Linked DNA regions of Lepisosteus oculatus. The protein of the gene in region 1 interacts with the protein of each later gene in a biochemical or structural test. Links are inferred from orthologs where the notes say so. Each region holds a gene or a part of one and is shown on either strand. Other genes may lie near its edges.

What was found. The genes of interacting proteins can lie anywhere in the genome.
Region 2: the proteins of grb2a (region 1) and lcp2a form a complex in vitro, tested with the Homo sapiens proteins (4 studies listed by BioGRID and IntAct, with this or other methods). The link is inferred for Lepisosteus oculatus from reciprocal best matches to the Homo sapiens genes GRB2 and LCP2.
Region 3: the proteins of grb2a (region 1) and blnk form a complex in vitro, tested with the Homo sapiens proteins (3 studies listed by BioGRID and IntAct, with this or other methods). The link is inferred for Lepisosteus oculatus from reciprocal best matches to the Homo sapiens genes GRB2 and BLNK.
Region 4: the proteins of grb2a (region 1) and gab1 form a complex in vitro, tested with the Homo sapiens proteins (5 studies listed by BioGRID and IntAct, with this or other methods). The link is inferred for Lepisosteus oculatus from reciprocal best matches to the Homo sapiens genes GRB2 and GAB1.

What each region holds. Positions count from the first base shown.
Region 1 is NC_090704.1:44,337,012-44,344,871, reverse strand, and holds the start of grb2a (growth factor receptor-bound protein 2a), read right to left. Parts: upstream 3,002-7,860; 5' UTR 2,779-3,001; intron 2,542-2,778; exon of another isoform or gene 2,481-2,541; intron 679-2,480; exon of another isoform or gene 507-678; 5' UTR 279-506; coding exon 201-278; intron 1-200. Other genes in the region: mchr1a (melanin-concentrating hormone receptor 1), read left to right, coding at 5,908-6,004, 6,762-7,798. UniProt on the Homo sapiens protein: Non-enzymatic adapter protein that plays a pivotal role in precisely regulated signaling cascades from cell surface receptors to cellular responses, including signaling transduction and gene expression.
Region 2 is NC_090706.1:29,680,451-29,688,366, reverse strand, and holds the start of lcp2a (lymphocyte cytosolic protein 2a), read left to right. Parts: upstream 1-4,874; 5' UTR 4,875-6,012; coding exon 6,013-6,090; intron 6,091-7,916. Other genes in the region: putative ammonium transporter 1, read right to left, coding at 3,048-3,137, 3,881-3,947. UniProt on the Homo sapiens protein: Adapter protein primarily involved in signaling pathways within T-cells, as well as other immune cells such as platelets, mast cells, and natural killer (NK) cells.
Region 3 is NC_090699.1:24,014,801-24,021,876, forward strand, and holds the start of blnk (B-cell linker protein), read right to left. Parts: upstream 3,043-7,076; 5' UTR 3,024-3,042; coding exon 2,949-3,023; intron 2,528-2,948; coding exon 2,465-2,527; intron 1-2,464. UniProt on the Homo sapiens protein: Functions as a central linker protein, downstream of the B-cell receptor (BCR), bridging the SYK kinase to a multitude of signaling pathways and regulating biological outcomes of B-cell function and development.
Region 4 is NC_090696.1:27,606,158-27,613,914, forward strand, and holds the start of gab1 (GRB2-associated-binding protein 1), read right to left. Parts: upstream 3,043-7,757; 5' UTR 3,028-3,042; coding exon 2,914-3,027; intron 1-2,913. UniProt on the Homo sapiens protein: Adapter protein that plays a role in intracellular signaling cascades triggered by activated receptor-type kinases. Plays a role in FGFR1 signaling. Probably involved in signaling by the epidermal growth factor receptor (EGFR) and the insulin receptor (INSR).

The DNA.
Region 1 (7,860 bases):
AAAGCCGAAGAGATGGTCTAAAGAACAGTGAATTAGCATAACCCAAATCTGCCCTTACTTGCTGCAGAGTACTGTACTTTACTATGCTTTGCGCAGCACGTTAACGCAAATGAAACAGCAAACGCTATGTGAGGTGATGGACTTTCAAACACAAAAATCTGATTAGCGCTCCTTCCGGTATGAATAAAATCGACGATTACCTTCAGGACATCTCCACGTTTAAAACTTAATTCGTCGTCGGCAGTGGCTTTAAAATCGTATTTGGCAACGGCCTCCATTCTCCGGGGTTCTGCTGGGACACCTGTGAGCTTTTATAGTTTCGTACAGGTACAGTCTGTCGATGCAGCAGGGTGGAGATTTTACTCCCTTATTCTGCTGGCAAGTGAGATAAAAAAAAGCAAGAAAAATAACAGAATCCGTGGACCACTCGCTTCGAGTCTCTCTCCTCCCGGCTACGACCCGTTTCTCCGGGGTTAGCTCCTCACATAAAGGTCGCTGTCACGTATCTGCAAAGGCAAAGATACATCAGTGAGCCTCCCCAGGCTACGTAATTTAAATAGTATCAGTAAAGCACAAAAATATAATAATAAGGGACTAATTTAAAAGTGTTTGATCGAGCCGCGCCCTGGAGATCCGACTTGCAATGAAAGGCAAACGCTCAGCAAAAGAGGAAGGAAACCATCTGGCTGACATGCGAGTTAGCCAACCGCAACCCCACTGCGTCCCGACAGCCAATCAGGATGGGGCAAGCTTATAACGTCCAATTAGAGCCGACGTAATCGCTCTCCACCAATGGGACGCCCCAGTCCTCCGGCTCGTCCAATCAGCCGCCAGGAATGTTGACAGCGCCAATCACACATCAGCCCAGCTTCCGCGGAGTGACCAATCCGGCCTCCGCATAGGCCACAGGCCGCTTCCATATTTATCAATCATGCACTGCATTGATCTCTCCGTCTGCTACATGGCACAAAGTAACACTTTAAAGCTACAAGCGCCACACATGGGATCAGTCGCGTTTTGCCGTTAACGTCAATGCTCCCCGTTATGACTTAAAAACACACACCGAGAAACAGGGAAAAAAAACAGTCGTTAAAATGTAGGATGGAAACATAATTCGTCAGCTCTTACAAGAATGCAAGAAAAAGTAACCCTTTGTGTACAGGAACTGTGCGTTTGCTTCCGAATTATAATAATAATAATAATAATAATAATAATTGCTTACACTTATATAGCGCTTTTCTGGACACTCCACTCAAAGCGCTTTACAGGTAATGGAGATTCCCTCCACCACCACCGATAATAAATTCTTAAAATGTCAGAAACCCTGAACCGCAGACGTCTCGCAGAATACGGAAAGCATCATCTTAAGAAAACTTTCGTGGAAGTCTCGATCCACCTTCCTTCGCGACGTCAGTATTTTGATCATGTGCGCAATTTAATTCTCGTATAGCATTTTACTTTTTTTATTGCTGATCGATCTAGACAATAAAGCTTAATTTTTTTCTTCGTAGAATTAGAAAACCTAGCCAATGTCGCAGACAAGGTATTAATATTTCCACAACTCAATATCCAACCCCACCATCGCCAGTTTTCTTAAAACTTCACGCTCGAGACCTGACCCGATCTTATTTACAACCGTTTACAACTTCCAAAGAATATTATTTAACACGACTACCGTTTTATCGCGAACAACAAACTTCGTAATCCCTTTCGTAACTTCGTCAACCGAGTTACACCCATAAACGTTTGTTGCCTACCCCACTCATGACATTTATCAATTGAAATTCGAAATCAAAGTGTCGATTAACTTGGACAAAACTATCGATAACGCCAGGAAAGATCGATCCAGCGATACCCCCGAAACATCCCGACTAGACATAAATAAGAAATCTGCCTACATTCACATTTTTGAAAACAACAGCAACGATAAATAAATGTTGGTTGAAAGAAAAACCAATGAAGGCATCCGTTCTGAACCACTGCGCTACCGAATAGCATCGCTCGTCCAGAATAAATACTCGTGAGTTTAAGTTTAAAAGGGTCTTACGCGCTGAATGACCCGAGCACAGCCCCCTCCGTCCCGACAGGGAAGTCTCCCAGCCGGATTTGTTCTAGATGGTTCCTCGATGGGAGTTAATAAACAGCTGTGCCCTGCGCCGTAGCTCGCAGACTCGACAGCCAACACCAACCACTCAAGTCAAAGATCACTTCTAGCTAATGGCCCTCAAAACCCCAACAACAACAACTACTACTACTACTACTACAACCGGAGCCCTGGCGTTAGATGGCACCGGCCTGATTTGGGATTTCGTGATTAAGAGGGGTGGAAAACAAACAAACACCAACTTCGCCGTGCACTGGCACCGTGAGGGGACATCTGGGCGCCTGTGCACCGGGGCGACCGCGCTGACATCGGGGCGAAGTGTCGCACTCGCTGGGCGAAACGCTCGGGTTTTTTTAAAAAAAAATATATATATAACCTCTCCGTCGGTACGACGAAGGGAAGCGCTGACGAGCCGAGAGCTGCTCCGCACGCCGTCTGTCAGGAGCGTCTCTCCCCCCACCCCGACTTATCTATTTATTTTCTTTAAAAAAAAAACTTCCACTTTCTAGGGGGCTCCTTGTTTTCGGTTTCCTCCCTCGGACGCTGACTGTGTCCCAGGCCCCAGGAGCGGAAAAAAAAAAACTGAAGACAACACTTCGCGTCTTTCCTGTTTCAAAAAACACCAGGCCAAAATAACAGGAGACGAGAGAGAGAAAAAAAAAACAGTAACTCACCCCCACTTCAACTTTAACCGGGTGAATCCAGCTCAAACACACAGCTTGACCGTTCTCGGGGTTGGGAAATACACACTTTGTTACACAGGAATAGTAACTTGTAACCCTTTCTCTGAATCCCCCCCCCCTTTCTTCTTCTTTTTTTTGTACCCGTTAAAAAAAAAAATCCCGATATTTATTTCCGTTTCCTTCCAGATGCGGTCCTGCTCGCTGCCTGCCTCACGGCTCGAGCCGGATCTCGCGATACCTGCCCGCGGCGTGCGGGACTGGGGCGGGGCTTGGCGGGGGGTGAGGGGGAGGAGCCTCGGACCCCTTGCTGGGGGCTCTGCGGGGTGGGCGTCAGATTAGCATAGCCGCCAGGCCGGTGGGCATGCTCGCTTCCGAAGCTGCCTTGGTCACTATGATCAAAACCCTCTTCTTCAGAAAAGCCTTTACTGAACTGGTTCCATTCCTCACCCCTCTGCTCTTCTTAGCGCCACCTTCCACCGTCTCCTTCCACTATTGTTCGATAGATAGATAATACTTTATTAATCCCGTAGGGAAATGGATGTGTGACAGCAGTCCAGCCCAAGACAAGCAAAACAGACATCAGAATAGTTATAAAACAAAATAAATAAATACATAGGTGTGTGCAAAACGTGCCGATCATAGTCGCTGTAAAAACAATAAAATATGTGTATACACACTGATTGCCAAAAAAGTACAATGGAGTAAACATGCTGTCCATAGAGGAGCAAATGCATATTACGATATTACAATAATACAATCTCGCCTGTCTTTTCATCTTCGTATCCCTATTAAAGGTGTTCCCCTCATTGTCGTGACTCATTGCGGAAGTGCGAATTCCAGCTCTCCCGCGCTCCTTGTCATTGCTGTCAGAGCAATACTTCAGCCGAGTAGACTTTTATAGATACTCGGGTGGAAATGCTAACTTGTTTCCACCCCGAGTCCTTATTTGCTATCCGTATTGATTTAACTGGGCAATTTGACGCCTTTCCTTCTTCATGAGATGGAGGGTTAAAGAGACCTATCAGACCCGGAGCTCGGTCTTAATTGCTGGTTTCAATTGTTTACTCACCTGCACAGCCGTAGCGTTTTTAACCCATTTCCGAGGTGTTTATAGATGAGTTTATTTTTAATGAAGTGAATGCGTGTGGGCAGTCGGCTGTACAAGGCATTAAGAAAAAAAACTAGGTATGTGTAAGAAAAATAGGTAATAATAATTCCTTACACTTATAGAGTGCTTTTCTGGACTCTCCGCTCAAAGCGCTTTACAGGTAATGCGTGGAGTGATGGAGCCAGTTCATAGATGGGGATTATTAGGAGATCATGATCACTCCTGTCAAGAAGCGCTCGGTTTTCCATTTCATACAAACGACGGCGCCTTTTTTTTACAAGTTGTTACAAGTTGCAAGGTCACTATACTGGGGCATTAGCCCCACACAGAGCGCAGGGTGAGCGCCCCCTATTGGCCCCACTAACACCCCTTCCAGCAGCACCCTTCGTTTTTCCCAGGAGGTCTCCCATCCAGGTACTGACCCGGCACCTGTTGAGCTTCAGGCGGCTGCCAGTTGCGAGTTGACAGTGTGGCAGTGTGACACGGCTGCTGGCCGAGTAGACAACAGCGGGGTCAACTCATTGACTGCTCGAGTTGGGGGAGAAAGCATAACACACCATGGCTAACCTGGAATCCAGCTTGTGACCTCTGATCTAGGATGGCTCAGATCCCTTAGCTACTGTCACGCACAGCACACAGATGTGCCGAGTGGTCTCCCCTCGTTCTCATGATATGTGCTTGCGGTGGGGCTGCCCTTGCCCAGATCTCTTCCTAAAATCCTATACTCTTAAATAAGTCATGATTTCCCTTTAATTACCATGCACTATGATTAATTTATAGGCTACAGTGAGCCTGTCTTGTACAAATTCTGAATACGCTCCCCGCCTGCGATTATACAACAACTTCTTTCGCGAACGGAGAAACAGCCGGTGAGCGCCAAGCCTGTGAAGAAACTGGGATTTTATTCCCTGACCTCTGGCGCCACCTTGTGGGCAAGGACACACAGGACAGGACTCGCTGCTTCCAGGTGGTGCTGGAAAAACTCGCCGCCGGTCCTGCTGATGCGGCGACCGCATTTAGTGCTGAGAATCTGACACCTTCGGATAAGCAGAAAGCAGGAGTTTGAAAATTTCTAGAACGTGTTTGATTCTGATCATAAATAGTTAGACTGAGGAACGTGAACAGTCTGGCACCAATTAGTTGCTATCACTTCAGATTAGGGCTTGGAAATTCTATGAACACATTTTATATCTTAAAAGTAGATTTAACAGGGTTGCTATTAACCTTAACGGAATGTTTAAGTACATAATAAACCATCTTTATATTTAAATGTTTATCAATGTAATTTTGACGGTTCATTTACTGTTTTTTTTTTCTATATCTAAAGCATTATTTGCAACCTTAAGCTTTACATTTCTTGTTCAAGTGCCTCGCTATATTCAAGATAAGACTTCATTAATCATAATTACGGGAAAGTGAGGCGTTACAGCAGCCCAGCCCAAGAAAAGCAAGACAGACATCAGAGCAGACTAGAATTGAGACACAGCCGTGGCATTCTTGGACGTGAACTGGGGTGTCACAGGGAGAGAGGCGCTAGACGGAGTCGGGACGTGAAGAGAGCGGTCACGTTCGCTACACGTCAGAGGCTGACGAGTTTGAAATACCTGACGAACAGAAGCAAAACATCGGTAGTTCGGAGCATCTCAGTGCGGATTGAGATCTGCGTGCGCACAACAGATCGAACAGTAGGTGAGGAGGCTTAAAGAGCAGAAATATTCATCTTTCTTTCCTACTGACGTGAAATTAATACGAGCGATAGGAGCGATTCTAGCAAATCATATGTAAGAGCATCTAATTGAAAATAAGCAATTGGCACGAAGGGTTAAAATATTGACACTGACTCAATTTTATAGCTCTTCTAAGTCTTTCAATACAGTAAAAAATCAGCTGAATTTTCACACTTTTATATGATTTTCCATCAAAGTATCTTCGCATTTTGAAGTAGCTGATTTTTATTTGACAACATTGGTTTGACGCGTTGTTATTGTGTCTAGATCACAGTTCTGAGACTGATGGGTTTTGAAAGAAACACACCTTTCGTTCTTGAAAACATGACCTACGTAAACTCATCACTCGTCTCCAAAAATTATTCTTCCAGTAACCAGACAGGTAAGAGCGCTCCAATTTACTTGGAACAAAGTATTATTTCATTTCTTCTAACTACTGACAAGGTCTCCACCGAGAGAAGGTCGTTTATATAAGCAGTGTTTAACGTATTGGTGAGCAGACGAATGAACTGGCTTAATTCGACAAGCAATTTTGGCGATGTGGTGAAATATTTTAGCAAAGCGTGAAAGAGGAAAAAAGACGAATTTGTCCTGTTACAGTAATGTGGTTTCACGATTTACAAAGTTATTAGAATCCAGTTCTACGAAACGAATGCGTTTCGTACACTTTGAAATCGCAGGAACGTGTGAAGAAGCTGCATTTAGCAAATCTCCCCGAGCCGATTCCCTTGTGAATTGAGCACCGGGAGTCCTGAACTGCATCGATGTCTCTGACTCGACCTAGCAACCCGGGAGACACGGGGGCTCTTTCACTGAACGACCGCCTTTTGTCTTTACAACTGGTTTTATCTACCCGGTTTTGTATGGGTGGACTGGTCCTTCTAGAATCAGCCCGGTGTTTACATTTTTAATGCCGCAGGTGGTGTATCTCGTGACTTGTTTTGTTGATGTCCTAAAGAATGCAGTCTGAAAAAAACAACAACACCTAAAGTGGGAATCTGAACGGCCGAGCCACAAAATGCAACGATTTGAGCGATGTGGAAAATGTTACAGTTCTGCAAGTGTTCTGTAACTCCAAGGTCCTGCCGTGAAGTGCTTAGCGCGTCGTTAACCCCCGTTATTCCCTGTCTCCCTCCCAGCTGCGGAAAGGGGCCATGCGCCCTATACCGATGTGATCATGCCCAGCATTTTCGGGGTCATCTGTTTCTCGGGGATCATCGGGAACTGCATCGTGATCTACACCATCGTGAAGAAGACCAAGTTCCGAGCCAAGCAAACGGTGCCAGACATCTTCATCTTCAACCTGTCCATCGTGGACCTGCTCTTCCTGCTGGGGATGCCTTTCCTCATCCACCAGCTGCTGGGCAACGGCTCGTGGTGCTTCGGCGCCGCCATGTGCACCATCATCACCGCGCTGGACTCCAACAGCCAGATCGTCAGCACCTACATCCTCACGGCCATGACCCTGGACAGGTACCTGGCCACCGTCCACCCCATCCAGTCCAACTACGTGCGCACGCCCTGCGTGGCGGCGGCGGTCATCGGCCTGGTGTGGCTGCTGTCCCTCCTGACCATCGTCCCTGTCTGGATGTACGCGGGCCTGATGCCCCTCAGTGACGGCTCTGTGGGCTGTGCCCTACTGTTGCCCAACCCCGCCACGGATGCCTACTGGTTCACCCTCTCCCAGTTCCTGCTGGCTTTCGCCTTCCCCCTGGCCGTCATCTGCGCTGTCTACTTCAAGATGCTCCAGCACATGTCTTCCTCCGTGGCCCCCCTGCCCCCGAGGAGCCTGCGGCTGCGCACCCGGAAGGTCACCCGCATGGCGGTGGCCATCTGCCTGGCCTTCTTCGTCTGCTGGGCTCCCTACTACATCCTGCAGCTGGCCCATCTGGGCGTGCAGAGGCCCACTGTCGCCTTCGTCTACGCCTACAACATCGCCATCAGCCTGGGATACGCCAACAGCTGCATCAACCCCTTCCTCTACATCGCCCTCAGCGAGACCTTCAAGCGGCGGCTCGTCGTGGCCATCCGGCCCGCCAGCAAGGAGTGCCGGGTCAACAACAGCACGACGGAGGGCAGCGTCAGCCTGAGAGTGGTCCCCGAGTCCCTGCAGCAGTGCCCGTTCCTGGGGGACTTCTCCCACAGCGGGCTGCCCGTCACTGTGGCGGTCCGCTGACGCGGCGGGTCCCCCCTCCCGGGGGATCTGTGGTGGCGGCTTGCGGACGTAGAGCTGGTGAA
Region 2 (7,916 bases), on another chromosome or scaffold:
ACCGAAGGAGATACATCGTTAAATACCGCACGTGCCTGAAGTGCTGATAAAAATTAACACTTAAACTGATTTATAAACATACTGACTGAACCCTAGAGACACAGCAAGCTTGTGAAAAAAAAAGGGGAGTTATTTACTGCACAGAGACACCAATTTCAATGTAAGGGGTCCATCAGATAAAGAGCAGTAATACAAACTGTGGTTTGCCACACAGGGAGCATGTGGAGGAAACGTAGCACAAAAGCCTGCTATTAGTTTCAATCTATTTCTGACAGCTATCCCACCACACAGCACCAGACTAAATGAGAATGCTGGACTTGATTGTTCTACAAGCTATATCAAATGCCACACTGATCTGCAAAAACAGGCTTTAAGCTTCGCTCTCAAGTGGAGCTGTGAAGTTCAGGATTAGGTAGAATAAATCGGAGAAAAATCCTGAGTAAGAAGATATACATTTGTGTACAATTCTGCTCCCTTTCAGAGCTCTCAGCTGAGACTCATTACTACACAGCCAGGAGTGTCCTGGTAAGAGGTTCTACAGCTCAGTGGGGCGGAGGACACAGGCGAATGGAAGTCAGGACGAAAGCATGTCTTTTTTAACTTGGTGATTACTTTGTGATTTCTCCTGATGTCCTGTAGATTCAACACTGCTGTGACTACACTCCTTACAAAGCTCTTTACAGTTCCAGCCTAAAGGATCGAGTAATCTTAACAAGCACCTTTGTTTCCCAGTTTTTAATAAGGCTGATCTGCTTGAGGAGATTGGGCCAGTGATCACTTTTCTGACGAGAAACAGACTCCTCTAGAAAAGAACATTCTGCTGGACTTAGGTGACTTCACACTACCCACACACTGCATCTGTTTTTCCATTCTTTAAGATGGTTGGGAAGGATGATTTAAACATCCTTCTCAGAACTCTAGACAACGCAAGGGAAATGGCTGATGCACCAAACCAGTGTTTCACTCAGGAGTTCACAAAGAAAGAAGTCAGCAACATGCCCCAGGCAGGAGCAGGAAAAAAGTACTGTATTAAATATTATTACCATAGAAGAGGCAGGAGGATTTGGGGAAGTAGAACCAATCAAGATTAATGCATCCCCAGGGACAGATGGTATCTTACCAACTGTATCCAAGGAAACAAGAGATATGATTCAGAAGCCACTGGCACAACTGTTCCAACAGTCACCAGACAGGTGTAGCACCCAGGGACTGGAGAGTTAATCATGTAGTACCCTTCCATAAAAAAGGCGAGAAAACTGAAGCTCGTAATAACAGAAGAGCAACACCAATGTCTATTACATGTAAAGTAAAGGAAACAATTATCACAACTGAACTAGAGGATCACACTGTATGTAAGGAAATAATATCCCAGGAAATAGTTAGCATTAGTTTAGAAAAGGAAGGTCTCGCCCGATCAATTTGTTAGATACAAGAACAAGAAACAGCAGCAATGGACTCACACAGACCATACAATATTCACTTCAGAGATCTGTACTAGGACCACTGCTCAGCCGAATTTATACCAACTGTCTACATTCTACTATAGTTCGCAAACTAGACCAGAATGCAGACAACACCATTTTCATTGTAGACACAAGTGAAATTCACAAAGATTTAGATCAAATTCAGGACTGAGAAATCTGCTGCCAGATGATATGTAATGTACACAAGTTCAGGGTTCTGTATGCAAATTGTAAAAACAGAAATACAAAAAGGATACACTACAACACATTGAGACAGAAGAAACTACTTATGAAGAAGACCCTGTTTATATTGACACCATCTTCTAGCCCATATGGGGAAGCAGTAAAAAAGGCAAACAGAGTTAGTATATTTATGTAAAATCTTAGAGTTCCCATCAAGGGATGTTGTGTCAAAACTGTACAGCGCATTTGTTAGGATTCATTTAGAAAACCATGTACAATTCTGGTTACCAGAACACATACACTCAATGATACGATGAGACAGACAGCCTGTCAGACCCACACAGACAGGATGAAGAACTGAATCCATACACGCTTCCCAAATCTTCCAAGACACTGATACAGTCAACCCACTGGACTTCTTCAGAATCAATAGTGAAACGCCAACTAGAGGACATCCGTGGTATTTAACACTGAGAACAGGAGGAACTTCTTTAAACGAAGGGAGCTGGGAGTGTGGCACAATCTACCCACCCACGTGATTAAAGCTTATACCTGGGTTTCTATCAATAAACACCTGGATGAGACCCTGAAGAACTCTGTACAAAAAGGGAGGTAGGAGTGTGGAACGAACTTCCCACCCATATTACTGAAGCTGACACCCTGCACCAATTTCAAGAAACAGCTGGATGTGATCTTTAGATCGATTATTCCTTGCAGAAGTATTCAGATCCTTTTTTATCTCTCCTTTTGCCAGCTTCTTCATCTAATTCAGGGTTGTCGAGGAACCGGAGGCTATCCCTGCAAGCAACAGGCAAAAGGAAGGTACACACTGGACAGGACGCCAGTCCATCGCAGGGTACACACAGACACAAACACACTCACACCACGGCCTGTTTTCCATGAACCCAATTAACCTACCAGCATGTCTTTGGAATATGGGAGAGCACCTGAAGGAAACCCCACAGAAACACAGGAATAACATACAAACTCCACACAGATAGCACCTCAGGTCTGGGATTGAACTCAGGACCTCAGCTGTGCAAGACAGCAATGCTAAACACTGCACCACCTTCCTTCAGACTTTACAGACTTTACAACGTGTCCAATGTTCTGAAATTGCAAAATACAGTAATGCAGACATTTTTTTTTAATTGACGAAGTGTAAACTACACATTAAGATAAGTTATAATAAATCTCAGCAAAAACTAAAAAGAACAAAACACGACTGGTTAATTTCTCAAGCATTCAGATATATGCACTCAATACTTTCCAGAGTTTTTTTTACACATTATTTGGATACCTCAGACACTGTTTAGGAACATGTTGGCCCTGTGTCTGTGTGAGAGCGAGGGACACAGAGGGACAGAGACACCGTGGCCCGAGTGATCAAACTGTACTCACAGGTATCTGCTGTGTTTTTTAGGAACACATTTGCAGTGTGGTGAGGATCTGTCTTTCCGGCTTCCACAAACGCAAATCCAAACTTAAAGACTGTGAAGAGGGAAATAAAACACAAAAATAAGTGTTTGAGGAAAAGATATCGTAGGGCTGCCCTGATCCTGGAAGGCAGGTGTAAGTCTAAGTCTCCCCAAGAGCAGCAGCAGTTAAGACTTGTCATGTTAAACCCATTTGCAGCCTGACTTTAGTCAGGAATAGATGATTGGGAATAATGTCCAGACGCTGCAGCCCTCCCGGACTATACTGAAATATATCCTTACATCGCTATAAAGTACGAAACTCTTAATGTCGTTTTGTTTTACCGATCGTTTTAGTACAATATCAGTACTAAAATACGAGATAGTTACAGACCCAACACTAGTAAAACCAGCAATCTTCTACCATTAATCTAATAATTAGGGCTAATTACTCCATGCTAAGTCATTTTTTAGGAGCTGTTCGAAAAACAGGTACAGCATTTATCGTGGGTAAGTTGCAGTTAAGCTCTTTGATTTGAAATACGCGCACTTTATCTGACTGAACATGAAGCGCTACTTGGACAAGTATTTAAAAAAAGATTCCGTTAGAGAACAATGCGGGACACGCAGTCGCGGTAACCCAGCCTTTTTAACAAAGAAATGCTAAAAATGTCCTCTGGGTTACCGGTCTCCAAGACCTTCAACCGCACCTCTCCGGCTGAAGAAGCTGGGACAGGTTTCATACTTTATCATTTTCAATAAAACATTGGCCAACTGGCGTCTGGTGGGAAAGGTTCTCCCAGTAGCTACTCCACTTACACAGCACCCACACGCCGCACAGCACGGTGAACACGTCATTGACCGACTCCAGATCCACGGCGCCCATTTTCTACCAGCACACTCGTACGCGGGCGGTGACCTGAAATTAATTAATTGTGTGAATGAGTCGCCTCTCTGCGGCTACGCGCCACATCAGCGCTAACATCCGTCCGTCAACCGCCCCTGCCGCTCGAGGCCGCTAACGGCCGCACTTCCGCCGGCCGTCCACGCGCGAAGTCCATCGAGGTAAGAGTCACGACGTCGACAATTCGTTTCAAAGTAAAATGTATTATAGTTTTTTATTTTAAAAAAAAACTTTAAATGCCTGATGGCGAGCCTACATAATACAAATACAATCACGCTCCCATTTCTTGAATTTCATTTTCTACAAAAATGGACATCCAAAAACATCCAAAAAGCAACAGGAACTACAGTCAAGTTACAGACAGGTGCGAGAAAACGTTTTCCGTCTAGAGAACAGAGACGAATTATGGGAATGTCAACATGAATTCAACTCTGGCCGTCTCACAGAGATGGAAACCAGAAGAAACATAGAAAACAGACAAACTATTGAAGTCAGTTTGTTTACAAATTCCAAAAAACAAGATACTTCTTTTACAACTGTTAAATTCTCGTAGTTTATCTCATATGAAAAGGCAATGGCTACTGATCGCCGTGCATGAACGCCGAAGCAATGTCCATATGTGCTGTTAGAGTCCGCAGAGGAGAGGGCCAGCGGCCCAGACCAGACCGCCTGTAGGGGGCAGGGTGGCTGACTGGACTCACAGGCCGTTCTCAGTGCCGCGACACAAACAAGCAATGAGAGTAACAGCTGTCTCAGTCTGTCCTCCCCACTCTGGTCTTGTACAGTTTCTCTCTCCTCCCCTGATCTGTGTGTCGTGGGGCTGCAGGAGGACTGAACCCCACTCTGGTCTTGTACAGTTTCTCTCTCCTCCCCTGATCTGTGTGTCGTGGGGCTGCAGGAGGACTGAACCCCACTCTGGTCTTGTACAGTTTCTCTCTCCTCCCCTGATCTGTGTGCCGTGGGGCTGCAGGAGGACTGAACCCCACTCTGGTCTTGTACAGTTTCACTCTGCTCCCCTGATCTGTGTGCCGTGGGGCTGCAGGTGCAGAACAGTGTCACCCAGGTGGTTCTGCAGTTCTGTGGTGTTGAAGTGGGTTCCCTCCTGTGTGTGGAGCTCTATACAGTACATGCGAGGGAGCCTTTTCACGAATAGTTTTTTTTCATTGTTTTTTTTTTTTTTAGTCTTAGCAATATCGGCGTCACAGCAGCACATGGAGGAAGTGCAGCCACCAGTTTCTGAGAAGAGCCGAGGGCTACAGCCCTGGTGCAGCACAGGGGGACGGGGCAGTTCCTCCTGCAGTCTTGCCCACTGTGTTGCGTCAGGCAGCCATGTGCACCATATAGTCCTCCCTGACGGTCTGAGGGGTCCTACACAGGCTCAGAGACTGTGCTCAGAGACGGGGCCTGTGGTCCAGTGGGCTCCTTAACGAGGGCTGGGTTTTTATTAACAACCCCCCCCCACGCAGCACCACTCGCTTGTCGGCCGGAGGATTTTTCAAGAAACTCAGGAGGAAGTAGTGAATGACGCCATTTGTGTTTCTTCGAAAAGCCTCGCTTTCGTGCCGTCCGCGTCGTCTCAGTCTGTGCAGCAAGAAGGGGCTGTTTTCTCCCCCCCCCCCCCACCAGACCCCCCCATCCGAGGTTGACAGCCCTGGTTTCGCAAGAGGAAGATGTCAGCATTCGTTCAGTCTTGAGCGCTTCCTTCCTGTCTCTCTCTCTCTCACTCCCTCGGTGTGAGCTGTTTGGTGCGGGCTCGTTCTGCTGCACAGTGCGTGCAGGCCATCTCTCTCTCTCTCGCTCTCTCTCTCGTCGGGCACCTCACTTCCTCCGCAGCGCGGCGACGCCAGAGCTCAGGGCGTAGCAGCGAAGCCGCGGGAGCCATTTTCTTGGGGCCCTCTCCATCCAGCATGCCGAGCAGGAGGTAACCGGGCAGGAGGACGCGGTCGGCCCAGGCTCGCTCGTTGCCCGTTTTTCGGCTTCTCCTTCTTCTTCTTCTTCAAGGGACTCGGATTCGGAGCGGAATATCTCGCTACGTGAGGGGAGCAACATGAGTTTCGACCAGCTCCCTAGCCGGACTGAAGTCCTGGGCTGGAACGCCAACAAGCTGGCAGAGTACCTCAAGTCGGTGAGTGCGTCAGGCCCGACCCCGGCGCTCTCGGGTTTGGTGCGGGCTGTCCGGGGCTTCGGCACGCGAGACCGGGCCCGTGGCCCTCGGCTCTCGCGCTCAGCCCAGCTCCTGGGCCTGGGGGAGTCAGTGTCTCTGCGCTTGGTTTTTTCGTGGGAGAGGACGATGATCCAGATCGCTCCCTTTCTGGGGCAAACCCGCCTCTTGTGGTCAGCTGCTCCGTCCACTTGGGTTGTGTTGTCGTTATGGAAGCCTTGTCTCCAGTGAGTTAGCGTCGCCCGTAGTGTGCTAGCAGCGTCGTCTCCAGTGTGCTAGCAGCGTCGTCTCCAGTGTGTTAGCTTCGTCTCCAGTGTGTTAGCGTCGTCTCCAGTGAGTTAGCAGCGTCGTCTCCAGTGAGTTAGCGTCGTCTCCAGTGTGTTGGCGTTGTCTCCAGTGAGTTTGTGATGTCTACTGTGAGTTAGCGTTGTCTGCAGTGAGTTAACTACACCATGTTAGCGTTGTCGACTGCATTAGCATTGTGTACAGTGAATTAATGTTGTCTCCAGTGAGCTGGCATTGTCTACAATGTGTTAGTGTTGTCTGCTACCTTAGTTTTGTCTGCAGTGTGTTAGCGTTGTCTACAATGTGTTAGTGTTGTCTACTGCCTTAGCGTTGTCTACAGTGAGTTTGCGTTGTCTACAATGTGTTAGCATTGCCTACAGTATGTTAGTATTGCCAACAATGAGTTCACATTTCCCACAGCAAGTAGGCATTGTCTCTAGTGTGTTAGCATTATTTGCAGTTTGTGAGCGTTGTCTTCAGTGAGTCAGCATTATCTTCTGAGTCAGCATAGCCTTCAGTAAATCAGAGGTGTGTTAGCGTCGCATGCAGTGTGTTAACATCACTCACACTGTATTAGCCTTGCCCACAACAATTTTGTGTTGCCAACAGCGAATTAGCATTGTCTGCGATGAGTTAGCGTTACCTGCACTGTGTTAGTATCACCTGTCAGTGAGTTAGCATTGCGTACAGTGAATTAAGCATTGTCTACAGTGTGTTGGTGTTGTCTACAGTGAGTTCGCGTTGTTTACAGTGAGTTAATGCTGTCTGCAGTAAATCGTCATTGTCTCCAGTGTGTTGGCGTTGTCTCCAGTGAGTTTGTGATGTCTACTGTGAGTTAGCGTTGTCTGCAGTGAGTTAACTACACCATGTTAGCGTTGTCGACTGCATTAGCATTGTGTACAGTGAATTAATGTTGTCTCCAGTGAGCTGGCATTGTCTACAATGTGTTAGTGTTGCTTGCTACCTTAGCATTGTCTACAATGTGTTAGTGTTGCTTGCTACCTTAGCATTGTCTGCTGCATGCTAGCTTTGTGTGCAGTGAGTTAGCGTTGTCTACAATGTGTTAGCATTGCCTACAGTATGTTAGTATTGCCCACAATGAGTTAGTATTTCCCACAGCAAGTAGGCATTGTCTGCAGTGTGTTAGCATTATCTGCAGTTTGTGAGCATAGCCTTCAGTGATTCAGAGGTGTGTTAGTGTTGTCTGCAGTGTGTTAACATCACTCACACTGTATTAGCCTTGCCCACTGCAAATTTGTGTTGCCTACGAGTTAGCGTTGTCTGCGATGGGTTAGTATCACCCGTCACTGAATTCGTATCACCCATCAGTAAATTATCATTGCCTACAGTGAGTAAGCATTGCGTACAGTGAATTAAGCGTTGTTTACAGTGAGTTCATGTTGTCTGCAGTAAATTGGCATTGTCTCCAGTGTGTTGGCATTGTCTCCAGTGAGTTAGCTTTGTCAAAAGTGTTGACGTTGTCTCCAGTGTGTTGGCGTTGTCTC
Region 3 (7,076 bases), on another chromosome or scaffold:
GACAGAAATTGCTCAGTGACCTCTCCCCTAAAATAACAGGTGACAGTGACAAACATATTTAAACTTAATGCAGCAATAGAACTTTAGGCTATATAAGAAGAGATACTGTAATACAAATAAAACTCTGAGATGTTCCAGCACTGGGCTTCATTCCTGACTAGAATTTAGATTCCTAAGTTTGAATCTGTTTGAATAAAAGTTTCCAGACACCTCACATACTGTATCAGTGTTTAGCTACACCATTACATAAGATCAGAAATCATTAGAGTGAAAGCTGCAACTGCCATAACAACCCAGTCTACTGCTTTTATATGCCCAGGGTAGAGTGGTGCTTGTTAAAGACAATTTTGTGCTCATTTTCAACACCTTTGCAGCTACATTTGTGCAACGTGGGATAACCTCCAAATAAGTAATTTTTGTAATCAAGATGTTTTTTGATTTCAAGGATGAGGGTACAGTGCTGTGAGACATTGTAGCATGTGACAAAGCTGAACAGCGTAATTGCTTCTTGTGGTAAAATTCAATATTAAATGAACATAGTAAGAGACACAATTAGCACCATCTTCCTTGTGCATCCACAGACAAATGCCTCACAAACCATGACAGTTCTCTTTTTCTTTTAAACACACCAGGCATATACATGATATGCAGATTTGGAGATGGGGAGATGAAATGGTAAAATGCTGAAAACATTCTTCTTCAGCATGCACAGTGATTAAGATGAACCTAGCTTATGCAGACACATAATGGCTATATGCAGCTTTTAATGACTGTAATATCAAATAACTGTATTGATTTTGAATAACACAGGTCAACTCTTACTGGAGATGTTAGGCAGATTCTTTAAAGATTTATTACACACAATGTTTTTTTTTTTTTAAATCCAGCGTGGTCTTAGTTTGGATTGTTAAACAATACCAAGGTAACATCTTGAAAAAAAAATGAGATCAACTGTTTGAAATTTTATCGCTATGACTTGTTTTGAATAGACAGGTGGGTTATGGGAACCCCCAAACGGACAAAGTATTTTTGTGCAAAACAATATTTATTACCCGATAGGGTTTTTTTTTTTCAACATTCTACAATGACTTATCCTAACACAGAATATGAATGCTCTTGATTTTGGTTTTGGGTAAATTATTTCACACCTTTTCACTGGAAACAAGCCAAAAACTAATCAAAGAAGTGTGCTACAATGACACTTTTATTCAAGATCATAGCCATGAAATTCCAACCATGAAGACGTGTCAACCAATTAAGCAGGCTGGCAACTCAGGTGTGGTTATTGTAGGAGACAGGTAACATGGTGAATTTGTCCTATAAATTTTGATCCTAATTAGTGGATCCTAATTCCACTAATCAAAACGTCAAAAAAAAATCGTACTCTCAGTTTTCCTTCTGAGCAAACATAGCACTTTGAGAGCCAGCCGTGATGTGAAAGAAAGCTAAACTAAAGTTGAGAAAGCTGAGACATATGTCTTTCATTTCACAAACAGCCTTCCGTCTTCAGAATGGTTAAGCAAGTAACAGATTTCACATCATGTTTTCACAGTGTGCTGCTGCTATATCTGTTTTTTAGGCAATAGAAAGTCCCATTTATATCAAAATACTTTAGTTCAATCTAATCAAATTGATATACTGCATTCTGTGATGTTAGGTTTATTTAAAAAATGTGGGAAGATTTATCACAGTGTTTCCATTTAATTTGAGAAACTCCACATCTATGACAGCTTCCTGACAGCCTGCTTCATTCCTTCTCTTGTAAAATTATTCAAGCCTGGAATTCTGCCCATTAAAATTATTCTTTGGAAGAAATCATGCAGCTAGCTCCAGTTTCCACTTATTTAAGTTAATGTAGTAAAATCAGAAGCAAGATTCATGGCACACATTTCCAAAAGTAGGTCCATCCGCAATACAATAGTGTTACTCTTACACCCTAGCACGGTGATACTGCCCTACATATCATATAGCATGTGGTTAGAGTAATACCGTATAATCCACAACTAGATTCTAAACATAATTACCTTCTGCTAAATTCAGACGGCAGAATATGATCTTTCTTTTTTCAGAGTATTTAAAACTTTAGTTTAGCATTTAGTTTAGCATTACATAATGATAATTTTTCCCATTTAGCAAATGTAACAGAAACTCACAAAATGCTATTTAGTAAAGAGTTAATTTAATCCTTAATGAGACTTATTTACCCACATAAACCACATTTAGTTGTAGTTTTATAAATCTGCATATCTGAAAACTGCTTGTGAAGACAAACATTAACACAAAATATGACTAAAATATGAAATTATGAATTTAAATTTGAACATTTTGCCACAGATTTCCTTTTTATGTTGTACCTGACAGATATACTGTTTGGGAGCCAGAAGTTTCATTTTGAAAATATTGTTTCTTTTAATATTTAGCCTTTGTAGAAAGCCATATTTCAGAAAAAAAGTCTGAAACCTACCAAAAACCAATGTCCATCTATCTTCATTTTTTCCACTGTCAGCGAGCATTCTCTCATTCCATTCTGTATAGGAAAGGGTAAAATAAAGAGAAAGTGATGTGCAACCTTGCATTGCCTGGCTGAAGTGTGCAGAATCCAGTTTCAAAATTAATATCTGGGGGTTTGACTTCTGAAAAACAAAATCTTTGAGAATGACGAGTGTGTGTTTAAAAACCAATGTCTCAAAGATATTAGATGAAGACAGATGATTTGGAAACATATGGTGTAGGCTATTATTGTAGGCTGGTATTGATTCTTTGGTTGTAAATAATAATGTCACTGAAGTTCTAGAAGAGGAGGTTAAAGAACAAAAACAGGAAAAAGACAAAAATATTTTTATCTGATGCAACAATAATGGAAATCACAGTGTGCAAAAACATGAACAACAGAAATAAAATATGCTACATACATTAAACTATGACAAACAGTATAAGGACTCACTTACCTTTGATAGGAAGTCTACTAATTGATGTGGGCGCCAGGATTCAACCTGCTCTTTTGTGGGCAGGTTTAAAGCCATTTGTATGAGGCAATGCACGTGAAATGTGCAATGGTAAGTGTTGAAAGCACTTCTTCTAGTTTCTTGTTTATTGAGCTGTTTAATAGTGACCTCAACAAGGAAGTTTCTTGAGGCCCAGCCTGGTTTGGTAACTGTCTTTGTAAAGGACCGCCTCTCTCTTTACAATGAAATACTTTTCTTTTTGAAATTTGCAGGATATGGTGAGATGTAGAAGATCATAGTCCAGGGTTATTAAAGTTTTATACATTTTGTCTGTAAGAAATATTGTTTTCAATTTCCACTGACATATAAAAACACTTAGTTTTATGAAAGAACCATAAAATAATTTGTCAAACTAAAGTTGTCAAATGAAGCACCATAAAGTGCAATTTGTATACATCCCTCTGTATACACCCCTTTGCTCAGTGCAAAGTGTTTTATTAAACAGCCCTATTATTACTACTCAGGAAATTTTTGTATGCACTGGGGGTACATAACAGTGTTTTTCAGCACGTAGTTTTCAATAATGCTGGAAACTCTTCTATAAATATTTGAGTCTGACATTATGCAGTTAAAATGAATGCCAAACCTTATATTGCAATGCTATTTGATTGAAGTGTTCAGTACTGTTTATAAACTGTATATTTAAAAAATCCCTGAAATAAAGCTGATATGATTTAAAGCATGCACATCATTTCAAGGATAAACATATTTTTATTTACCTGATTTGCATGAAAACATAACCAGACTCAGTTAATTCTGTGCTGAATATATCATAAAACATAATGTTGTATGCTGACTTTAAAGTACTTTGACAAGTTATACATAACAATGGTTATACTTAGATATATGATCCGTAGACCCTTTTCAGTTTCAGTTCAACAACAACATGCAGAAAATGATTAAGCACCATGTTTGTTGTGCAGTAATGTTTTTAGTTCTGCTTTAGTTTAAATGATAAATTATGCACATACTTAAGAATGAGAGGAGCCTATTCACTCCATCTAGCCCATTTGGTAATTAATAGCTATAACAACAACATGACTGAATGGCACTCGGTGTCACTCGCAAAACATTTTAGGTCAAGAAGTTTTAAATGCAATTTCACATAGTTTTCACTTGTGCCCTTTGGTTCATATTCACAATTTTTGTCAAACAAATGTTAAGCAAATGCCAGACTTCTGTAACAGCCGTACTAAATATGCAATGAATAAATTTGGTCTTGTAATGAATATGGATATACTTTTGCTTATAAGATGTTTGCTTGCAACATGTCTCTTAAGATTAGTGCAAACCCTGGTTGGTCACCTGTCAAAACCACACAGTATGTTACTTAAGTGGAACTAAACTAGGCCCGGAGTTCCATTAATAACTTCTGAATTCGATATACCTTAATTTCAAACCCTTACCTCTGGCTAGCATGTGGTTGTATGTATGAGGGTGTATATTAAAATTATATTACTGGAAATGTACTTGTTTCGTAGAAATGCTAAACTAACATAAGATGACAGAGAAATGACTTATTTGAGTGCCTTTCTTTGAGAAGTGAAACCACATTGTATCCTACGTAGTAAATTTAAAAAATAAAAACAGAAAAAGAGAGATAGGAGCTAAAATCCGGAACAGAGACAGGGAATAAAACCAGGATAACGAGGCCAGGTGCTCCGAGCCCCACACTCAGATGATCAGGACACCGTGATGAAGCCTATGCTGTCGGGTCTCCCCTGAAACCGCTGGTAGGCGGGCTTCCAGGCAGCCATCTCCCAACGCTGATGCTGAGCCAGGAATAGCGAGAGCGCCTGGCTTAAATAGTGAAACAAAACACGAGGCAGGTTCACATAATCAACTAAAATACGAAAGGGTCGGAGCGCCCTTAAGAGGAGGGATGCCAATCGTGACAGTTGCTTGCTGGATAGGCTCCGGTTTCCAGCGACCCTCTATGGTATAAAGCAAATTACATGACGTGACGTACAGTATATAGCTCCGTATTCATGTATTTACCCTTAATATATGAAAAGAACATGAATACAATAATTGATTAATTGTATGGTTATTAACCGTTTCATTAATGGTCACTTCAGTATTAACTATGTTTATAAGTGTCCCATGACATTATTTTTTTTACTTTGCTGACAATAACTTGTTCAATAAGTAATGATCTTCATGACTTGGCCTTGACTTCTTATTTTGAGCGTGCACAATATTATACCACCAGAAATGTGTGTTACAGAATAATTACAGAATTCACTTAGCTAATCCAAACAAAACCAATTTGTCAGAATATCAGGATTGGCTGCTGGAAAAGTGTAGTGATGATCTGTCTTAAAATGGACAAGGATCTGGTTACTGCAATATTGTGTTTGTTGCCTTGTTGTTTGTTACCAAAATGTGCTTTGTTAATTTGAACAACAGAAGATTGAATTACAGTAATGAAAAGATGCACAGTATGTACAAATCTGGTGTATACTAGCCTTTTTGCAAATTTTGTAGTCTACACAGTCATATATATATGGAAGCACATTGATGCCATTAAAAAAATAATGTACAGTATACTGTATGTTGTAATTATGGGAAAATGATCTCATTATTACAAGATAGTACACTATGCCATTATTATGATATACAGTAGTAAATTATCACGTAATTACAAGATAGTACATTATTGTGTACTTTATGTGGTAATCACGTGATAGCACAACCATACAATACCTGCATTATCATTAGCTGACTTTCTGTTTTGAGCAGTGGAATTGCTTGCATGGTACAGTCTTTCTTGTTTAAGGGTACATCTGAGTTTCCTCATGCTTAATATGATTTCGTTCACATAAGCTAAAAATTGTAACCTTTCATAATGACTAAACCCAATGGAGAGTAAGTACTGTACCTGCACATTCTGCAGTATTGGACATTGTTATGAGCACTACACTCAAAGTGCCAGCTGAGCTTGTAATTGCTGTCATTGCACAATGTAATATGTTGTTTATACACACAAATGACCATTTGTATTTTGTTATAATGAGATAATTTACTATCTCTAAATGACAAGATAATTTTTACATAATAAAGTACAATGGGATATAATTTTCTCAGAATTACAGTACAAGATACATGTTCATTTTCTGTCTTTGATGGCAGCAATGTGCTTCCATATATAAGTACATACAGATTCTTAAACTGATGCCATGTTTTTTTTGTGGGATTGTCATTTGGATGTTGAGCTCAAGACAGGATAGGTGAATTTGTTTTATTTAATGTGAAAGCCTACAGGTTCTCTTTTGAATGTCTAGTGACCTGTACAACCAACGTTCTATTCTTCCACTGAATTCTGATTTTTAAATGGGTTGCTCTTGAAAATAACAGTAGATGGCAAGATCATTATTTATCAGAGACTCTTGGCTTGTATAATATATTCTTCCTGTTTGGCACTCTTGCCAGTTTAATTCAACTGCCTGTAAATATAAAAGAAAAATAAAAGACAAAGGAAAATGACATCACAGTGGGCGTTCTCTTAGCTGTAAGAAAAATAAATTGTAAGAACAACAAAGACAAAATAAAAGGACACAACACAAGAAACAGTTTGCAGTTTAACATTTCCTGACGAAAATGCTTCACATTCCCATTTTTCCACCAATAAAGAAAAGACAAAAACTTCCAGAGTCCCGCAACTCATGTAAATATGAAGTGAAATTTAGTGAGGTGGCAATATTTTTGGTGGAAAGGAAAATGGGATCAAGCAGAAGGAAGTTTCTCACTAATCTTGCGAGGAGTAAAGGGTTCAGAATAGAGGATGTGTTAAGGTATGTATTTTCTCCAGTAATAATTTGGAATTTACTAAGCTAAGCATAAAATAATATTCTTTTCATCTTATTTTTAAAAAAGTATATTTGATTTCAAATAAGAATTGTAATGTAAATCACAGAGGTTCCTTGTGTTTGATGAAAAAGATCAGACCACTATTAATGATTACATGTCATGAACCTGTTAGAAAATAGAAGAAATTCAGTGTCAGAATTGATAAGAATTGACCATGAGAAGCGGACTCAGAAATGTGATCTGATTTCGTGATGTTCACAG
Region 4 (7,757 bases), on another chromosome or scaffold:
GTGCATTAAGTCAGGGGGTCATTCTGCATCATTTATTGGCATTTAGAGATCAATAGTCCTGAATGACTGACCCATGGGAATCTCAGGCTCTAATATAGGAAAACCTTTTTGGTTATTTTTTTAGCAGCAGTCAAACGTTAAGTCATGTTAACTTTAATTCTCATCAATCCTTCTTGAGGTAGACTCGCACAAAGGATGAAGTATTAACCATGAGGGTTGAAAGATTAACTCAAAGACCTAGCTTGCCTTCAGCTGTGGGCATGAACTAGCACCTCAGTGACTGACAGACTTTCTCCGTTACCTAGCACTGCCACAAGTGTTGCCTGTAGTGGGGCTCCTAACACGCAGCAAATGGCCACAGATTCTGTTTTCCAGGAAACAGTGTCTTTTTTTAAATCCCAGCAAAAAAAAAAAAACAAGGAAAAAACAAACTCAGTGGAAGTTTCCACTTCTCGGGATTTTATCATCCTGGTCATCTGTGTTCCTAACACACACACTAGGCACAAAATTTCCTGTTTTCCATCCATTGTCACATCAGTTGGTTCTGAAGGCTGTCATTTCTAACTTTAGATCTGAAACCTGACCCTTAACCAAACAAGAAAGAAACGGCAAATAACTTCTTACAAGCTCTGCTGCAGAGAGAGCCCTAGGAGGACATAAAATATCTGATGACTTTTGATGTCAAACCAGCTCAAATCAAAACCTGTGGACTGCTCCACAGGCTATGCAGGTTATTAAACACTTTCAAGGTCTTTGCTTTTACGAGAGAGGTCTCTTAGAGCCAAATACAAATATAGATCTCTGTAACCCGTTTGAAAATGTTAACCCACTTTTGTTACTGAACAGTAGATGGTAAAGGTCTCTCCCTTTTACAAATACAAGAGGAAGAAACCCTGACAAAGCAAAACTCAGTCCTGCATGAGAAAACAAACGACACTTCAGCACAGAACTTTTGGCTGCAGCACCGTAAACACAGAGGTTGTGTTTTTCAGAACAGGACAATTTCAAAAAGGCCTCTAAATGCAGTCCAACATTGCTAATGGAGAGAGAGCATAGCAACAGCCTTACAGCAGATTTTAAATGGAGACCTGTACTCCCTGGTCACAGCTGATAAGAAGGCAGCGATATATTGCAAGCAAACCGAAGGGTGTGCAGACCCAGTTTACCTAGGATTACCGTTTCTAATGGCTTGTAATATAGCTGGACTGGACCTATTTTAACTGCTGTAGCCATTTCATTCCACCTTTCAATCATTTTCCAGCTGGTGTCGGGACACAGCCTTTATCGAGTATCAGACAGACTCGTTCCTGCAGTCATGACACATAAGAACATTTACAAACAAGAGGAGGCCCTTCAGCCCATCTAGGTCACTTGATTTTGTGGTGCTAACTGATCCAGGCTTACACAGCTATTTCTTCAAAGAAGCCAAGTACTTTGAGCTGACTACTACTACTGTTACAACTACCTGACTATTAAATTATTACATGTTGCACAACAGCTGGAAATTCATCTTCTTCTTTGCTAAATACGTCTTGTCGCACTTTAAAAATGGAAAAAAGAAATGTTCTTATGAATTGCTCGGTAGTCATCCCAGTCTAGCCTTGCTTCTCTAAGACAACTTATACACCACCTTGGCCCTAGGCATGATGATTCTGTTTATTAAGGGGGCTGTCAGCTGCTAGAACGCACTCAGCAGATTCTATGGAACAAGTGTAAAGATGAACTGGTCAAGCCCACCTCCACAACATAATAAACCAGTTATTTTCCAGCTACACTGTCTGTATGGAAAGAAAAAAGGTCTCGCATCCAGAAGCATCATCTTAATAATTCCGATCACTAAAATTATTATTTATTACATTACTTTTTGCAATTTTTATACATCAAAAAGAAGTATAATATACAGTGCGTGTATATACTGAATGTATTAAGACATTCACCCACAAACATGTTTTACACATAATTTGTAAAGCATTGTGCAAAGGTTTGGGTTCTTTAAATATCACATGTATTGCGTAATTCATCACCTTTACAGTACATCATTGCACTGTTTTATTTATTAATACAAAGCATGTTAACATTTTAATAGCTGTATTTCAAAGAATATCAAAAAATACTTTGCGTTCTATGTTTTTACCTCTACACCTTCGCAGTGTTTTACTGGAGTACTGTTGCAGGAATTATAGATGACATCTTGAAAATCTTTCCAGCAAGTCCGTTTTGCTGGATTCTTTTAATTTTATACAGATGCTCATTTATACTGAAGCTCTACTGCACTCTACCATATACTATATACATTTCATCAGCATTATGAGAGAAAAGGGCTGGCTGCGCATGTCAGTTAGTAGTAGCCTTGCTCAAACCCCACTAGTTAACAGCTGTACACAGTAATCTTCCAGAACAAAAAATTAAAGACAAAAAATACCATATATATAAAAAAGCAGTTTCACAAGACAAATCACTTAACAAAAATATAGAAATGATCGACAAATAAATTTAAATGTATAGTCTCATAGAAATTAACTGGGCATTACACCAGAGGCCTCTTCTCTACAGTGTTTCTATAATGGCTGCTTGCAGGGAATGTTCAGATTGCAGGACAGCAGATCGGCACATTCTCGATAGATTTCCTGCCTCACTGTGGCTCATTGCTACACCAAAAACCTTTCAAGTCACAGAAATATCACCGCATGGTGTAAACGTACACTTTCAACACGCTGAACAGCTTTTGAGCAAAAACAGTGCTAAACAGTGCTTTGCTTCTCCACGAGAGAAACTCAGGTCCCTTCAGGAAATTCTACAACTCCAGAAAACAATTTCAAACACTGGCGAAGTGAAGGAGTGAGAGGAGGAAAGGAAAACCCTGCCAAACAGCCCAGGAATTGGGAAAATGCAGAGTGCGGCAGTTTTTTTTACCTTGTTTTGCCGTTTGCTTGCAGGGAGGATCGATAACGCGCGCTGGAGCCTGCGTCTGGCTCCGGAGCTTGCTGTGCGCTGTACGGTCTGGCTACTTTCCTGTCGGCTTTCCATCGCCGTCTACAACACCCTGCTCCAGTAACCCCTGACCCACAGGAAGTAGGCACAATGGACTGAAAATAACAGAAACTGTCCCCTCCATCACGCTTCAACAAAGAGCAGGCACACAAATATGGATCGCACTGCTGGGATACTAAAATATCTCCAGCACTGAAAGCAAAAAGCCCAACGAGGCAGTAATGACCAGTGCATCCCCACCCCTGCAGGGCCTTGTGCCTTGAGCCTTGTGCCTGTGACACCCATGTCTGGACATGAGGAGAGGACCCCGATGCTTCTGTGGCAGCCCCGACAACAACAACAGGGTTTAAAGACTTGTAACTAAGGCCCTCTAACTCCACTGCATGGACCAAACTCTTTGAATGATTCTGGCCACATGACTGGCTAGTTTTAACTTTCTCTGCCAAAAATCTGGATTCTCATGTTTAAGCTTTCAGCTGGCGCATCTAAATGAAATTAAACTCAGGTGCACATCAGAGTCATAATCCCCTCATGGGTTCTGCAGTTGTTTTTAGGGAGAGAGGCACAAGCAGAAGAATACACTACTTAAAGACTCCCAACGTCACTTGTGATATGTGCAATAAGTCTACTACCCCTCTGCATGGTGCTGTATCATTTAATTGTAATTCACGCATTATGTAGCAAAGCCTCAGAACAATGCTGTGATAAAATCAAAGTTTATTGGGATAAATATAAAAAACAATTTCATACATCTGACAGTCTCAGATGCATCACAAGACAAGTGATCTAAGATGATCTCAGCATCTTAACAGGGTTCAGGCTGTTCCTGTTTTCACAGAAGCCAGGAACTGGAAGAGGAGGCTCAGCTCAGCTCCATTTTCCAATATCAGCTCACAGCAACCCTGACTCAGGATGCTGAGAAAACCCCTTGAAGACGAAAGATGCTCCTGGAGCAAGATTGTGGAGCCCCAGAGTTTCAGGGTCTCTGGCTGAATTTAGCCTTAAACTGAAGCTCCATCTGGCTGCTGGGGTTGGCTGCCAGGCTGGCAGAGTTTCCCCGAACAGCTTGCACGTCTCTGCAGGCTGGCACAGAAATGACTCTCATGCCAAGCAATTAACTGCAAGGCTAAATTGAGCTACACGTACCTGTCAGGTTGGAGCCCACAAACAGCACTTCACAAGGGACAGTAATTTACTGCCGACTACCAAACCTAACCTTCACAATATCAAGTCTGGGGCTGAAGGCACCCCAGGCTTTTAATTTGGAAATTAAAATTTAATGGAAAAAGAACTAGCACATTGACTATACATATTTTTTTTCTTTGCCCAGTTAACCCTTTATGTCTTAAAACTGATTTTAGACAGAAATAAAGAATCGCTTGCATATTGCAGGAATGTTTCCTGCAATATGCAAAATGTTCTCAATTTTCTCTGCACATCAAACGTACCATGATGAATATTCAGAATGTTATTTAGATTGTCAAAATAAACTGTTAATTATAAAACGCGTGTTAATTGGTTGATTGGATGCATAAAATTCAGGGATACACATATATATATACACATAATCTAGTACAACAAGTGAAATGCATTCATACAATAATGATTCAGTCACAAACAATAACCCAAGAATTCAATGAAAACAAACCACGTGTGTGCCGAGAAACGAAAAAATGCAGTTTGTTCATCCATGTAGAGGAAAACCTTGCAGAGTGTTTTTAGTGGCGTATGATTCACATCTGGCTCTTGGGGAGATAAACCCTGTTCAGTGCTCACCTCGATTCTACAGTCCCGTCTTTACATGACTTTGCACTTCCAGCAGGCCCGAAGCCCAGATTCAGAGTTCACAAACCTTCTACACCATAAAGGGTTAAAACCAGAACACGCTTGAGAGCTGGAAGTAAATGTTAGAGCTCTCAGTAGGTCCTCAGAATACTTTCAAGCTTCTAAATGTACAGAGTAATTATACTCTGTATAAGCAAGCTCCAGTCACCAACTTCTGTGCCAGCACTGCTTAAAATGGAACCTATCGCAAAAGGACCACAGGTGCTGACACCGACTGCAACTGCTCACAATTAAATACTGCGTTTTAATGACTACAAGCCTGACAGGGCGTAACACAAGAACACACTCTTCTGTGACACAACAGTTGCTTCCCTGATGGAGGCAGCTTTACTTTGTTGTGAATTTGTTTAATAGAATCAAACACTTAGCAGTAGATCCAGACAATGGAAAGTCATACTGTATTGCTTTTAAATTGTATTTTTAGCTCATAAAATAACCAGATAGACCTGTCCTGACCTGCAGTTAAGACAGCTTGGAGACAAATTCACTCTTGGCTTATTTAATTGTATAGTTGATATTGCTGCTTGCCAAGATGATTCTGTCACGGTACTTTCTTTCTCTAGTTGACAGTGCATGTATGCATAAGCTACTGCAAGTCTTGATATTTTTCAGTTACAATCTGTGTAACCCTACATTTTGAGAAACAGGTTTCAGGTGTCTTTTATTTTCTAAGAGACGGGCCTACTTTCAGAGTCCACCAGCTGCAGTCAGGTGTGTTTCTGTCCAGGGACACCACATTAATTCTTACAAGTCAAATAGCTGCAGCTCCAGAACCATGACTTCATTTTATAGCTCTCTGCAGCCATGTGGGCTGGAAAGTTGTTGCCACACCACATTAAAAATAGCTGGACCCATTTAGAAACATGTGCAGGCCCTCTGACACGCTGCTTGTGACATCCTGTTTTGTTTCTGAAAGAGCACGCTGTGAGTTTAAGGGCCTTCCACTAGGCTGGAGAGCACTCATTTGTGTGCAGCAACACATCCAGTTCTAACCTTGGAGAACAGCCTTTCCTTTTCTTATTGCTTATTGTAAATGCTTAAACACAAAATCTTAAGCAATTCAAATGCCACCATTCAACGACAATAATTATAAGAATAACAACTGAATGTTTTGCATTTGAGAACAAAGTGCCAAGCATGTCTCTGAAGCTCCACATGATCTAAGGATCTACTCTGCCTGATCATGGAGATCATCTGATCTAGAGGAACAACACTTTCCCTTTTTTACAAACCATCTCACCTGCATTCACTTCACTGAGGAGTCAGAGCACACTTTCAAAAAAAGGAGCTGGATCTCAGAAAATGGTCTTAACACCTGTAATGCACAATACTATGCTTAGCTTTTGTATTTGCTACTTTCATAGTCCTCCTCCATTCCCACAGTGGTGGACTAAAAGGAAACAGCAGAGCTTTTAGCTGAACACTAAATATTGGGGCTTCTCCTGCTGCAGATGAAATGTTATTACTCTATAAGCCTGCGGTTTGACAAAGAGGCTCAACCACACTACTGGATCATTATCCTGGCTCCCCTGACGGGCTAAAGTATCCATATTAAAGAGGCTAATCCGTTCACTCTGATATATCAGTGCTCACAGCCCCAGAAAGAGGTGCTGGGGAGGTTACAACACTGAACAGAAAGCAGATCGGATTTCCATCATCATCATCACGACACAAAGCAGGGTTTGAAAAATTTCACCCGTTTGTGATTTCCAATACAAAATAAAGAACCCCCCCCAAAAAAGATGAAAAGGGTTCTTATTGTTATAAGCATTCACAATATACAACAGAAGGGTCCAAAAAGCAATAGAACTATTATACCTGCTTTAATACCTAAAGTAAGACACATTCAAGTTTTTTGTTTTATTGCTCATTAGAAGCTATAAAAAGCAAGAAAATCCAGAATACTTGGAAATGTCCACAGCAGATAAAAACATTCTCTGAATTTCTAAAATATTCTGCTGAAGCAGGAGATAAACTGAGTTTCCTGGCTTGTTATTTATATTTTCTTTATACACTGCATTAAGCAAATGATTTACAGTTTAAGAGTCAGACAGACCTGTAATTACCAACCCAAACTTGCCAACAACACTGACACATCCATAGTGCTGTCCTCACATTACCTCTACATACTTTGAGACTCAAATTAAAATTTTACCAGTATATGCACAGTTTTCTTCTCTGCCCTGTTTTGGTAGCCACTCACTTTCCTGCCATCTAGGATACTAAACAGTGAAAGAAAAGTTAAATTGACCGATAATGTACACTGTGACCCATTCAATACCAATTACAGATTTTACCCCTTAAGCCCTAATTCAGCCATGAAGTTACACTCACTGCAGTTGTGCTGTGAAGCCAAGTCTCATCTTCACACCTCTTAAAATCATGAAACCTTACTAATAATGATGCTTCTTGGTTTTTTACCCCCCAAAATGTTATCATTTCAATGAGCAGTTCACCGATGAGAGGAAGAGACACTCTCAATAACTGGATTCAAGTATGTCCATTTCATATACTGACTTGTCACATTACTTAAATACTGTAAACAAACATCCAACTATTAACCCATAAAGAAAAACCTTGCTTTTTGAATATGCTTCTGAGCCAAAAAATCTCAGACTCATTAATCGTATTAAATCTTATCAGTAGGACTCAGCCATTTTCTAATCACTTTTGCCCAGATACAGACTTAGCTCAGTAGACTTAAGATTTACTCTTTCACCTGCTCACAAGCTTAATTGCTAATGCCAGAGATTCACAAGACGTTATGCAAATATCTTCAACTGATACATCACCTTTCAAGTGCCACCTTTCTATGACCAAGGAAAAATGCCAATTTATTCCAAGTCGTCAGCTTTAATCAAATACAACTCAAATAAGTGTACAATAACTTGTTAAAAAAGAAATTCACACTTGCAGATATC